Drosophila melanogaster: one gene and its partners. The protein of the gene in region 1 interacts with the protein of each later gene in a pairwise test. Each region holds a gene or a part of one and is shown in the gene's direction. Other genes may lie near its edges. The genes, in order: Lip3, pie and CG11286.

Region 1 (3,757 bases):
GCACCTTTCACCTTCGTTTACGGATTAGCCTACGTGTAATATAGCAAAAGATACTCAAGTGATATTTTGTGGTCAGGTGGAGTCGGCGGCAGATGCAGGTATCACCAAACCAAATCAAAAAAACTAAAGACACAACTGATGAGAGAGACTTGCGCCCCTTTGAGCTTTTAAAATTAATATAGACTATCTATATGTATATGTCCATATGTCCATATGTCGATATGCATACGAATTGGCGCACTTGCTTATATTTGATATGAGTTTGTTAGTTAGATACATTCCGAGGTTGAGATGTCGAGGTCGCTGGCAAAATCGATGGGCCACCAGAAACGACCGATTTGAAGCAGGAAAGGGCTCTGAGTCCGCCTATATCAGTAGCTAATATGGATATAACTTGTAACCGCTCCACAGACGAGCGACTTTCGTGAATAGTTATTATTCTATTTGTTGTCCCCCTCCCTGAATAATTGAGCGTTACAGGCATTATTGATGGATTGGTTAAACGATTGATTGTGTTGCGAGTTACATATACGATATGCAAGTAAGAACTAGAACCTGTATCAACAAATTATCGATTATACACTCAATATACATAAATATATATATATATATATAAAACATGCGAATCAATTTATTTAACTATTGCTCCTTTTTTGGCTCTGAAGTCTCTGGCTTGTCGAGCAACTGGTTGATTCGTTCTTCAGTCAGCGGCTCCTTACTGTTGAACAGTTTCTCGATCTCGTCCCTCTCTTCCTCGCTAATATCCTTGGCATAGATTTTGGCCAGATCCTCCAGGCGCTGCTGGTTCTTCTTCAGATGTCCAGGTAGCCAGAAAATGGTCTGCACCATTCTATAAGAAATAATTGGTACTATAAGGTGCCAGGTATTATGATCACATTACAAATTTGTACATTGCGCATTAAGTATTGAGTATTGAATAGTTTAGTAAATGTCCTTACTTAAGAAGTACAAATCCGCAAATGGCCAGTAAAAGACACAATCCCGATGTCTTAAACATGGTCCAATAGTCCACCGTAACTTGTTGGTGTTTCATTTTGGAAATCCTTTGAAAATGAGCTCCACTCTAGACTGAATTATGGCTTGAACTGTCATAAGTGCGATATGGTAATATGCCTTCGGGCCAAGAATGCCAATGTTATGGTCACGTCGTCAGGGGCAGCCGGCTCGGGAGATACGTGTATTATACACCATCGGCAGACCAATCATGTGTGGCCTCTATAAATCGATATCACACAAGCCCTGATTTTGATGACCAGGCTACAAAGTCGGGCTAAAGTGCTAACTGGGCCGCATAAGGATTAATGTGCGCACATGTTGCTGCTGCATAAGTGCTGCATGTTGCCGACGACACTAGCAACATGTTGCTGGCGTGATTCAGGCATTTTATTGTTTTCATTTGCAATCGGATTTTCTATATTTAACAATTATCTTCAACGAATTACGTATTTGCAAATAATAATAAAAATTATATGCCTTATTAAAAAGATCGAGCTGCAGAATACCCTCTTCTCAATTTTTAATGTGCCCGAATTTAAGGGTAGCCTATTGTTATTAATGTTTTAGTATAATTTTTTTTTTTTATAAATTTCCATTGGTGATATAATAAAAGGTCTCTTAAAAGGCAAATGTCTTGAAATAAATGGAAATTTTATATGCTTGACTTTTTAAAGTAAGGGGTACCAAAATAATTGAAAATCGATAAGAAAATCCGTCGTTTTGGCGGGGTGTTTGGGTTTCTTTAGATTGTAAATTTGAGACCCGCGATTTCAATCTAAACAAGAAGCTGATTAGGCCAGGTGTATCTAACTCTCATATATATTTAACTGATTTCTTGGGGGTCTTCGTACGCGTTTGCCAATAAATCTGATTGTTTGTGACTATCAATGGATAGATAGTGGTCAAGGGGCTATAAAAGCTGTGATCCCGAACCACACGGATCATAGTACTGCGATGACAAGAGGAGCGTTAAAAGTGACCATTTTACTGGTCGGATTGGGCCTGGTTTTGGCCGGATCTCGGCCTATTTCTGATTGCGTAAGTAAAAATTTAAGAGTTTGAAAACAATTTAATATTACATATTTGTTATTTATTATTTGGTTTTTCTTTTGACAGAGTGAAACCATTTAATTGCTTTTTATTTACAAATTAAAATTAATTAAAAATAAGCATACATTTAATTGTTTTGTAGGGTGAGCGCATTGAAGACGATGGCTACCCGATGGAGCGCCACGAGGTGGTCACCAGTGACAACTACATCCTGACTATGCACCGCATCCCGTATTCCCCCAAAACGGGTGAATCTTCCAACCGACCGGTGGCCTTCCTCATGCACGGCATGCTGAGTTCTTCCTCCGATTGGGTGCTCATGGGTCCAGAGCGATCCCTGGCCTATATGCTGGCCGATGCCGGCTACGATGTGTGGATGGGCAATGCCCGAGGCAACACCTACTCCAAGGCGCACAAGTACTGGCCCACTTACTGGCAGATCTTCTGGAACTTCAGCTGGAACGAGATCGGCATGTACGACGTTCCGGCGATGATTGATTATGTCTTGGCAAAGACTGGACAGCAGCAGGTGCAATATGTGGGCCACTCCCAGGGTACCACTGTCTATCTGGTGATGGTGTCGGAGAGACCCGAGTACAATGACAAGATCAAGTCCGCCCATCTTCTGGGACCAGCCGCCTATATGGGCAACATGAAGAGCCCCTTGACCCGCGCCTTTGCACCCATTTTGGGCCAGCCCAATGCCATCGTGGAGGTCTGCGGATCCATGGAGTTCATGCCCAGCAATAAGTTCAAGCAGGATTTGGGCATAGAGATGTGCCAGGCCACTTCTCCTTATGCCGACATGTGCGCCAACGAGATCTTCCTGATTGGAGGCTATGATACCGAACAGCTGGACTACGTAAGTATCTGGAAATGAACTTGGTCCTATAAATTATATTTCCATGTAACTTATAATGCTGCTCTCCATTTGGTCAGGAACTCCTTGAGCACATCAAGGCCACGTCTCCGGCTGGCGCATCGGTGAACCAGAACTTGCACTTTTGTCAGGAATATAACTCTGGAAAGTTCCGTAAATTCGACTACACCGCTCTCCGTAATCCCTATGAGTACGGCAGCTACTTCCCTCCGGATTACAAGCTAAAGAATGCCAAGGCCCCGGTTCTATTGTACTACGGAGCCAATGACTGGATGTGCGATGTGAGCGATGTCCGCAAGTTGAGAGACGAACTGCCCAACATGGCGCTGGACTACCTGGTGCCGTTCGAGAAGTGGGCCCATCTGGATTTCATTTGGGGCACTGAGGCCAGAAAATACGTCTACGACGAGGTCTTGAAGCAGATGCAATCCTACGAATAGATTTATTTTTCAGGCAATAAACGGAGCATTTGAGCTAGCAAATTTCGAGATTGATTAGTTCTCCTCCAACTCCAAATCCAGAACGTACGATAATATTTTAGTCTCTTCATTCTTGAGGGTATACTTTATGCGATAGAAGCCCGGACTCATCAGCTTTTTGAGCAACTTGACATTGAAGGGATAGTCCTCTAGTACATAGCGTTCCTTGGGCAGAGGACAGCTGCTGGGATGCGGGGCATTCGAGTATTCCTTGATCCGTTCGTAAAAGATATCCTTGTAGTAGCTCTTCATAAAGTCGCAAAGCTGCATTTCGAATGTCAAAACCTTCTCGTAGTCTCCATCGCTATCCGGGGATCTTGAAACCTTAAGC
Region 2 (3,757 bases), on another chromosome or scaffold:
GCAAAGCTGACAGTTGTTGGTATCCACCCAGCCAGGAACCTCTTTCCGCATTGCATTCATTTCCCAAAAAACCACTACTGAATCTTCGCCACAGCTTATCAGTTGTTGCGTGTGATTCGCGTACGACAGGGCGGAAACTTTGTTGCTACATAATCAGAAGTGCCGATTACTATCTTATTTTATGAATATTATTTAAGATTGGAGATACCTATGTCCCTGCAGCTCGTAAATGGTGCCACGTTTGCCACCAACATCCCAAACTAGCACGGACTGATCGCAAGCTCCGCTAAACAAGAGCTGAGGGCCTTCCACCCATTTGAGGCACCGGATTTCCGCTAAAAATTAACCAATTCGTATATAATTAGCTTACTAAATATCATTTGTAACTTGTTTACCCGAATGTCCATTGAAAGTGGTAATTAGTTGCACTCCCTGAACATCGCACCTTAGCATTGTTATCTGTCCAGCATGATCGCCCACAAAGGCATACTTGGCCAAAGCGTCGAACCTAAACGCAGATTATAATTAATTATATGTTGCTTATAGAATATTTCGCACAGTGCACACATTTATGCCAAAATTTTGTGTAGATAAAATGACTCAGTTGACACGTCATTAACAATAGAAGGTTCTCAAATTCTAAATGAATTCCATAGCCGTGAAGAATTGCAGTTTATTGCCGTGTCAAAGAAAGCAGTTTAATCCAATTAAATGACCCGCTTATCCCATATCCACTGTCGCACCCCCTTCCCCCTTTCACCATCCATTTATCATACTTACTGGAGAGCCGTGCATGGTGTCTCAAAGTTGTATCCGCCCACCCGTTTGCCGCTCTCCGTGCAATGATAGGCGAACTGCTTATCTTTGCCGGCGGAGAGTATCCACTTGTGGGTTTTCGAGAAGACCACGGCCATGACCCGCGCTTGATGGGACAAGTAATCCCGCAGGAAGGACAGGCGATTGCAGTCTTCGGATAGCGCGTACTGGGTGACCGTTCCGTTTTCCTGGCCGACGTACAGGTGCCGGGATTCCGAAACGTACTCGATGGCCGTGCAGCCGGAAGGCATATACTGGCAAATGCTAGGCCAATATTGACCAGAATCGCGTTTTAGCCAAACGCGAACGGTTCTATTGGGGAAAACATGAAAATGTCAGGCATACCATTTGTGTATATTTTTAATGGGCTACAGCTACGCACTTGTCATCGGAAACGCTAATTACGCCGTTTTCGCCCGGAATTAGGATCGCTGCGTTCACATCGTCGCTGCTGCCCTCCAGCTTACTCAGCAATTCCGGCTTTTTGGAGGTGTTAAAGCGATCATTGTTGGTCCGCTGAGCTGGTTTTATCTCGGCAGCCATATTATTTAAGGTGGATCCAGTCCGATGGTACGCCTACGCCCTATTTAACGCACTCGATGATAATGCGGTTATAAACAATCCGATTCTCGGACTGGGGAAGGTGAATGGAGATACGTGATTCACAATCAATTAACAAAACTGTGTTATTTTGTTTAACATTAAATATACTGAACTTTGTTGTTGGAAAGCTCGTCTAGATAGCGACGCCAAGTTTAGGAATGCTGCGGAATAGTGGAATCGATGAAATGAAAATAGAATCTTAATTGTTAGATATAGTTTTTGCGTATTATTGTATATTATTTTGCTATTAAAAATACTGAAGGTATTTCGTGTGATGTGTCGCAGCATTATGTATGCATATGCACGCACCACATTTTATAAACATACAAACGAGCATTTGAATCTTGAATCTCAGAAATCGCTTTATAAATGTATAGTCTTATGATTTTCATAATGGCATATCATATCTAATAAAACCTACGGACCACGCACAGTTATGTTTCCGGTTATCATGCTATTTAATTATTAATCACAAAATATTTGTTTATATTGTGTTAAGTTTTTAATACGTTAAAATTTATTATTACACATAAATAAATAATTTTATTATAAGTAGGGTTAACGCAAAATATAGCTAGTTAAGCAGATTAGATCATTGTGAGTGTTGCTCAGTGGAAACAGAGCTTTTCCAAAAATGTGCTTGGTGGAATTGAAGTATAATAAGGCGCTGTTGTATTTATTGTTTTTCAAAATCCTTGCCCGCCAATAGAGTAAAAAAGGAATGCAAAACATGTTGATAGTTTTAAAAATTATTCATAATAGCACTCAAACGAGTTGATCTGTCCAGCAAAACTAGTCTGAGCGGCCAGCTTACAAATGGAAGATAACAAGGAGCTGCAATGCTTAATATGCAAATATTCGGACACTGACGACCTGGTCTTTGGCGAATGGATGATTGTACGCAATTTGCAGGTGCACTATTTTTGCCTGGTAAGTGCGATTGTTGTGAAATGAAGAGAACTCCCGCTAATGTAAACTTCCTGATCCAATCCACCAGCTACTCTCAACGCATTTGCCGCAGCGCGGCGGAGATAGCAGTGGAATCCTGGGATTTCTGCTTCGCGATATCCGCGAGGAGGCAGCCGCCGCGGAGAAGAGGAAATGTTGGTACTGCAATAAGATTGGGGCCAGTTTGCAATGCGATCGTTGCCGGTCATTGTTTCACCTGAAGTGCGGCCTGGAGAATCGCGCCGTTTTCGAGTTCTGCGGCCAATACAAAAGCTACTGCTACAAATGCAGGCCGATGGATGACTACAAGCGACAGCTGCAGTCGAATCCGCCGAGGAACGCCACTTGCCCCATCTGCTTCAGTTCCATCTATAAGGTAGAGCTGCATTGCGTTGTGTACGGTGACTGCTGCCGCCTCGGATTCGCCCATAAGAAATGCATGCGTCAGTACGCTCTGACCTCCGGATATTACTTGCGTTGCATTTGGTGTCGTTCGGAACGTTTCAGGGATTCCATACGCCTGCAGTCGGTATTCGTGCCCGATCGCGATGCCACGTGGGAGAAGCAACGGAACGCCTATAGGGAGCTCCACGAGCGCAATCTGAAATGCGACCAGCCCAACTGCCTGTGCCCCAGTGGTAGAACTTATAATAGATTATCGTGGGTGATACTATGCTGCAGTTCTTGTGCCGCCACTTCGGCTCATCTTAAATGCTTGGTGGGCGCCCTGCGACTGCCGAAGAAGCGCGAGCGTACAGATTTCAAGTGCTCTATGTGCCTGGACGTGGAGAGGAGGATTGCTGAAGGACCGGCTCGCACAACAGAAGAAACCAATGCTGACGGCGACAACCAGGTGGATGGCTCTTTTTATGTGCAAAAATTGGGACCCGATGCTGCAACTCGATCCTTAACCCAGACTCCTGTTTTCTCCGAAGAAGACGAAAGCGAACGAAGTAGTAATATCACGGTTATATTCAGCCAACCGAAATCTAACGCAACAAGCGAGAGGTTATCCTTATCGCCGCCACAGGAGGAGATGATAGTGGAAATTCCTGATTCGCCAGAGGCGTCGCCAAAGACGTCCATCGATGAGAACCACTCGCCGCAGCCAATAGCAAGAAGGGACACATCCGACTCACCACAGCCAATAGCAGCAAGTGAGATCCCCGACTCACCGCAGCCAACAGCAGCAAGTGAGATCCCCGACTTACCGCAGACAACAGCAATAAACGTAAACCCTGAATTAACGCAGCAAACAGCATTAAACACGATTCCACACTCACCGCAGCCAGAAGCCAGCTTCTCAACGCAGCTAGTATCACAAACTTTCGATTGTCCACAGCCGCAGGAACAAGCTGTGGCGAAAGCTCCCAACTCACCGTCACTGCCG
Region 3 (3,554 bases), 5.6 Mb from region 1:
AACTTGACCATGGACCCACTAACAATGAAGGAAGCAGCAAAGTCTCTAAAGTCTCAGTTGAGTTGCTCAAACATCTGTGCAAAAATGTGTGTGGGCTTGACAGAGATTATGTCTGGATTGCTGAATTTTGGGGACACTGGAGCGAGGGCTTGAAATGAAAATGAATTTGTGACAATATGAAATACTTGTGCATAAGTGAAATTGTTTCATTCTGCCGGGGCGAAGTCCGCCGGCAACCCAGTAAAATAATTGCCCAATAAACAAATGTTTTTGAAAATATGGTCCGAGTGCTCAGCAAACTTATTTCCGTAATGGACTCGGCATCAGGCCCAAAATCAATTTTCATGTCTGGTTCAATGTCATTTCGAAGTGGCGTACAATTACACCCGTAATCCCCTAGCATATGGCAGTAAATCTTGTTGTTTACACTCTCGTTGACCATCGACCATTGTCAATGTTTATTGTTTATTGTTTAACGCTTTTTCTGAATGACGTTTATATTTATATTTATATTAATATTATCAATGGCGGTGAACACATTCTATTAAATGAAATCCGCTATCTTTAAATGCAGTTTGTGGGAATTAGTAGCAGATTGTGTTAGTTTGTGTGCCCAGATTTGACCAACCACTCTGTTATTTGGCCATTTCCCCATTGGCAGATTGAGTTTGCATTTAATACCTTATACGTGATCCATCTGGTAATTAATGTCCCTCGTAGGCCGGTCGGTGAAATAAATTGGATTTGTTGTTAACATTTTAGTCACTGTTTTGTCATTACGCGCTGTGGGAAAGCTGCTGTCAATTTTGTGGCGACCAAAATGACGGTTGGCCAAAAGGCCAAGGGAAAACATCCACAAATTGATGAGATGAGCACTTTAAAGGGAAGTCGACCTGTCTCGGCATTAATAATCCCAGTGCGTGATCAAACTTCAGTCAGCCAATTGCTGGCTACTTATGCCCATAAATAGTTCATTGCATTTCCATTAGGCACTTTGCGGCAATCCGGACGACTGTTCGTTGACCTAATGCGAGCAATTCATTATCTGCAATTAGAGTTCAATTCACAGGCTCTGCCTGGCCAAAGTTCAAGGATCGGCTAGGCCGGCCTCTTGAGGCCATAACACATCATTAATGGTCTCTGCGGCCGGTTGCCAAAGAAAAGTGTAACAATAATGGGCTCGTTTGTTTTCATTGCACACGTGCCGGAGCCCCGACTTTGGTCAAATGTGCTCTTAATAGACCCAGCGTTTTGGGCCATGTTTTTGCTGTGCAAACATTGGCCAACTCTCCTGTCGGCGGCAGCTCCTATTCCCCCTTCAGTGGGCCACTCTTGTGGTCCGGCTGATGGCTCTGTTCCGTCAACTCGGGCGGTTCAAAAAATGAAATTAAATGCGCGAATGCATGTTTAATGGCGCGAAAATGTGTGGAATCTTTTTGAGAATAATTTTCGACCACACCTGGATAATGGGTGCAAATGTGGGTAGATTAGCAGTCGCACTACTCCTCATAGATTATTAGGAGGGACCATTATTAAGGGTACAAATAAGTCAATGAAAGTTCGAACAGGGCCCTGTTAGTTTTTCATTTTTTTAGGGACATCATAATTACAAAGGCTATCCAATCGCATTGAGAACTTTCGAGTTCGCAACTCTATTTCGGGCTCACTTGCAAAGTTTTTTTTACAATGGATATCCTTTAGCATAATTGCATGCATATTGCCTGCAATAATTGCATGTGATATTATTACAGAGATTCCTTTTTTGGTTTTTATTCCACGCCACTTTGAACCAGCCTGATTGTTGAATTAAAAAATTAATGAATGATTTTTGAAATGCCAATGTGAATGGCCGTGTAAATAAAATACAGCAGCCTGACCCCTTTCCATATATCGTCTGATGAATCCTCATGATGTTCTCGGCTGTTTCCATGTATATTTATAAACACCAGCGGCTTAAAACAATAATTCCCCAAGGACTCAGATGTTGTTGACGGTGACAACTATGTGGCGTATTTATTAAAGCGTTAATTGTCGAATCAAAGTAGTCACCGCATAAATAAGCCATTTAATATATCTCAAAAATCTCCAGTTTCCCAAGAGCAGTATCAAATTTTCAACATGTCCGCGACGAGCCTTGTAACCATTAAGTCGATCCCCTCAGCGGGAGATGTCCTGCGGGGTAAAAATGTACCAGTTCACCGCCTCAACGCGAAGTTTGTGGCCAAGGCCCAGGAGAAGGCTAAGAAAGTGGAGGAATTCCTGACTAGGACGAAGACCACTTCGTTGGTTTCCTTGTCAGGACTTGCTTCCCGATATGAGTTCCATCGTCTCCAGGAGCTCGACGAGTGGTATGAGCCAAGGATCAAGTTCCACGACGAGGCCGATGCCAGTTTGCATCCCAGCTACGATATAAAGCACTTTCAGTAGTCAGTTAAGAAAGAACTTGCTGAGTTACTTAGGTTTCCTGACACACCATTATTTCCAGCGATCTTAATTGCTATGTGCGGTATCTGGACTCCAAAGCGAAATATGATAGGCAGTTCCTTCACGAAATGGAGCACATTATTGCCAATCAACGCAATATCTGCGACCAGTTTTTCCTGAAGAAGTAAGCTAAAAGTTAGAAATGATAACATAAATTAACCGGGACTTTCGTGGCTTTTCTAGAATCCTGTGCTATAAAACAATGTGGCCCCCACTGCATACAAAGAGGGAACTGAATAACTTTGTCTCAAAATTCTTTCAACTGCCTCCTAAGGAAAAACGTCGCGTCGAGTATCTGTTGAAAACGGATTTAAGTCTGGGTTGCTAAAACTGATCCAATTGCAAAGTAAATGAGCCTTTTTATTCCACTTGGAAATGGTTTAATTAGCTCATTTAATTTTGCAATTATTCTCTGCAAAACTGATAAAATTACCTTATGGAAAATTGTACAGCCAATAAATTTAATTATGCAATTAAAGCCTTTTTTATAATTTCGCTGCAAAGTTAGTGAGCTAACAAATTGGATGGCTGGCGTAAGAACTGTAAGAAAATGTATTTTATGATTACTTGTTAAATTTTAATAGGATCTCGTTTACAAAAAGGTTAGTCAATCGGACAGCAACTAAATAGTTTTGAATAAAATCCGCATTTGTTTAATTATTCCACTAAATTACATTTAAACAAACTGCCGTTTGTGCATATTAAATATTTGAGCTGCGCTCATAAATAAATTCAAACAATGAATTATTATATTGTTAAACTGTGTAACTATGTGAGCAGATTCATGTTTAAAAGCAATGCAATTGTTTCGACCTCTTTTTACAAGTTACCGATAAGGGATAAATGTGTGCGTGTGTGATTGTATGCGTTTGTGATTGTGTGCGTTGACAGGAAGTGCGTCATTTGTCAAATGCTATTTTATGACCATTTTTTAGCCGTTCAGTCGAGTTTTGTTTGCACCGTGTATACACCTGAAAAAGAGCAAATTTACAAATGTTTACGCAGTGAACAATGACCAGAAACGCCATGTGAATTTGCTCTTTAATTCAGTTATGCCCTTGGCTGAGTTT

The links.
Region 2: the proteins of Lip3 (region 1) and pie interact in a two-hybrid assay, tested with the Drosophila melanogaster proteins (one large-scale study listed by BioGRID).
Region 3: the proteins of Lip3 (region 1) and CG11286 interact in a two-hybrid assay, tested with the Drosophila melanogaster proteins (one large-scale study listed by BioGRID).

Annotation. Positions count from the first base shown.
Region 1 is NT_033777.3:13,369,961-13,373,717, reverse strand, and holds Lip3 (lipase 3), read left to right. Parts: upstream 1-1,813; 5' UTR 1,814-1,971; coding exon 1,972-2,055; intron 2,056-2,209; coding exon 2,210-2,929; intron 2,930-3,006; coding exon 3,007-3,387; 3' UTR 3,388-3,441; downstream 3,442-3,757. Other genes in the region: CG34309 (uncharacterized protein), read right to left, coding at 640-850, 960-1,054; CheA87a (chemosensory protein A 87a), read right to left, coding at 3,442-3,757.
Region 2 is NT_033779.5:10,421,122-10,424,878, reverse strand, and holds the start of pie (pineapple eye), read left to right. Parts: upstream 1-2,098; 5' UTR 2,099-2,235; coding exon 2,236-2,349; intron 2,350-2,416; coding exon 2,417-3,757. Other genes in the region: Wdfy2 (WD repeat and FYVE domain containing 2), read right to left, coding at 1-145, 209-335, 396-508, 781-1,128, 1,199-1,359. UniProt on the Drosophila melanogaster protein: Required for survival of imaginal disk cells possibly by regulation of cell apoptosis. Required for germline stem cell self-renewal through mediation of BMP signaling.
Region 3 is NT_033777.3:7,770,265-7,773,818, reverse strand, and holds CG11286 (uncharacterized protein), read left to right. Parts: upstream 1-2,062; 5' UTR 2,063-2,118; coding exon 2,119-2,426; coding exon of another isoform or gene 2,427-2,427; exon of another isoform or gene 2,428-2,485; coding exon 2,486-2,608; intron 2,609-2,667; coding exon 2,668-2,812; 3' UTR 2,813-2,959; downstream 2,960-3,554.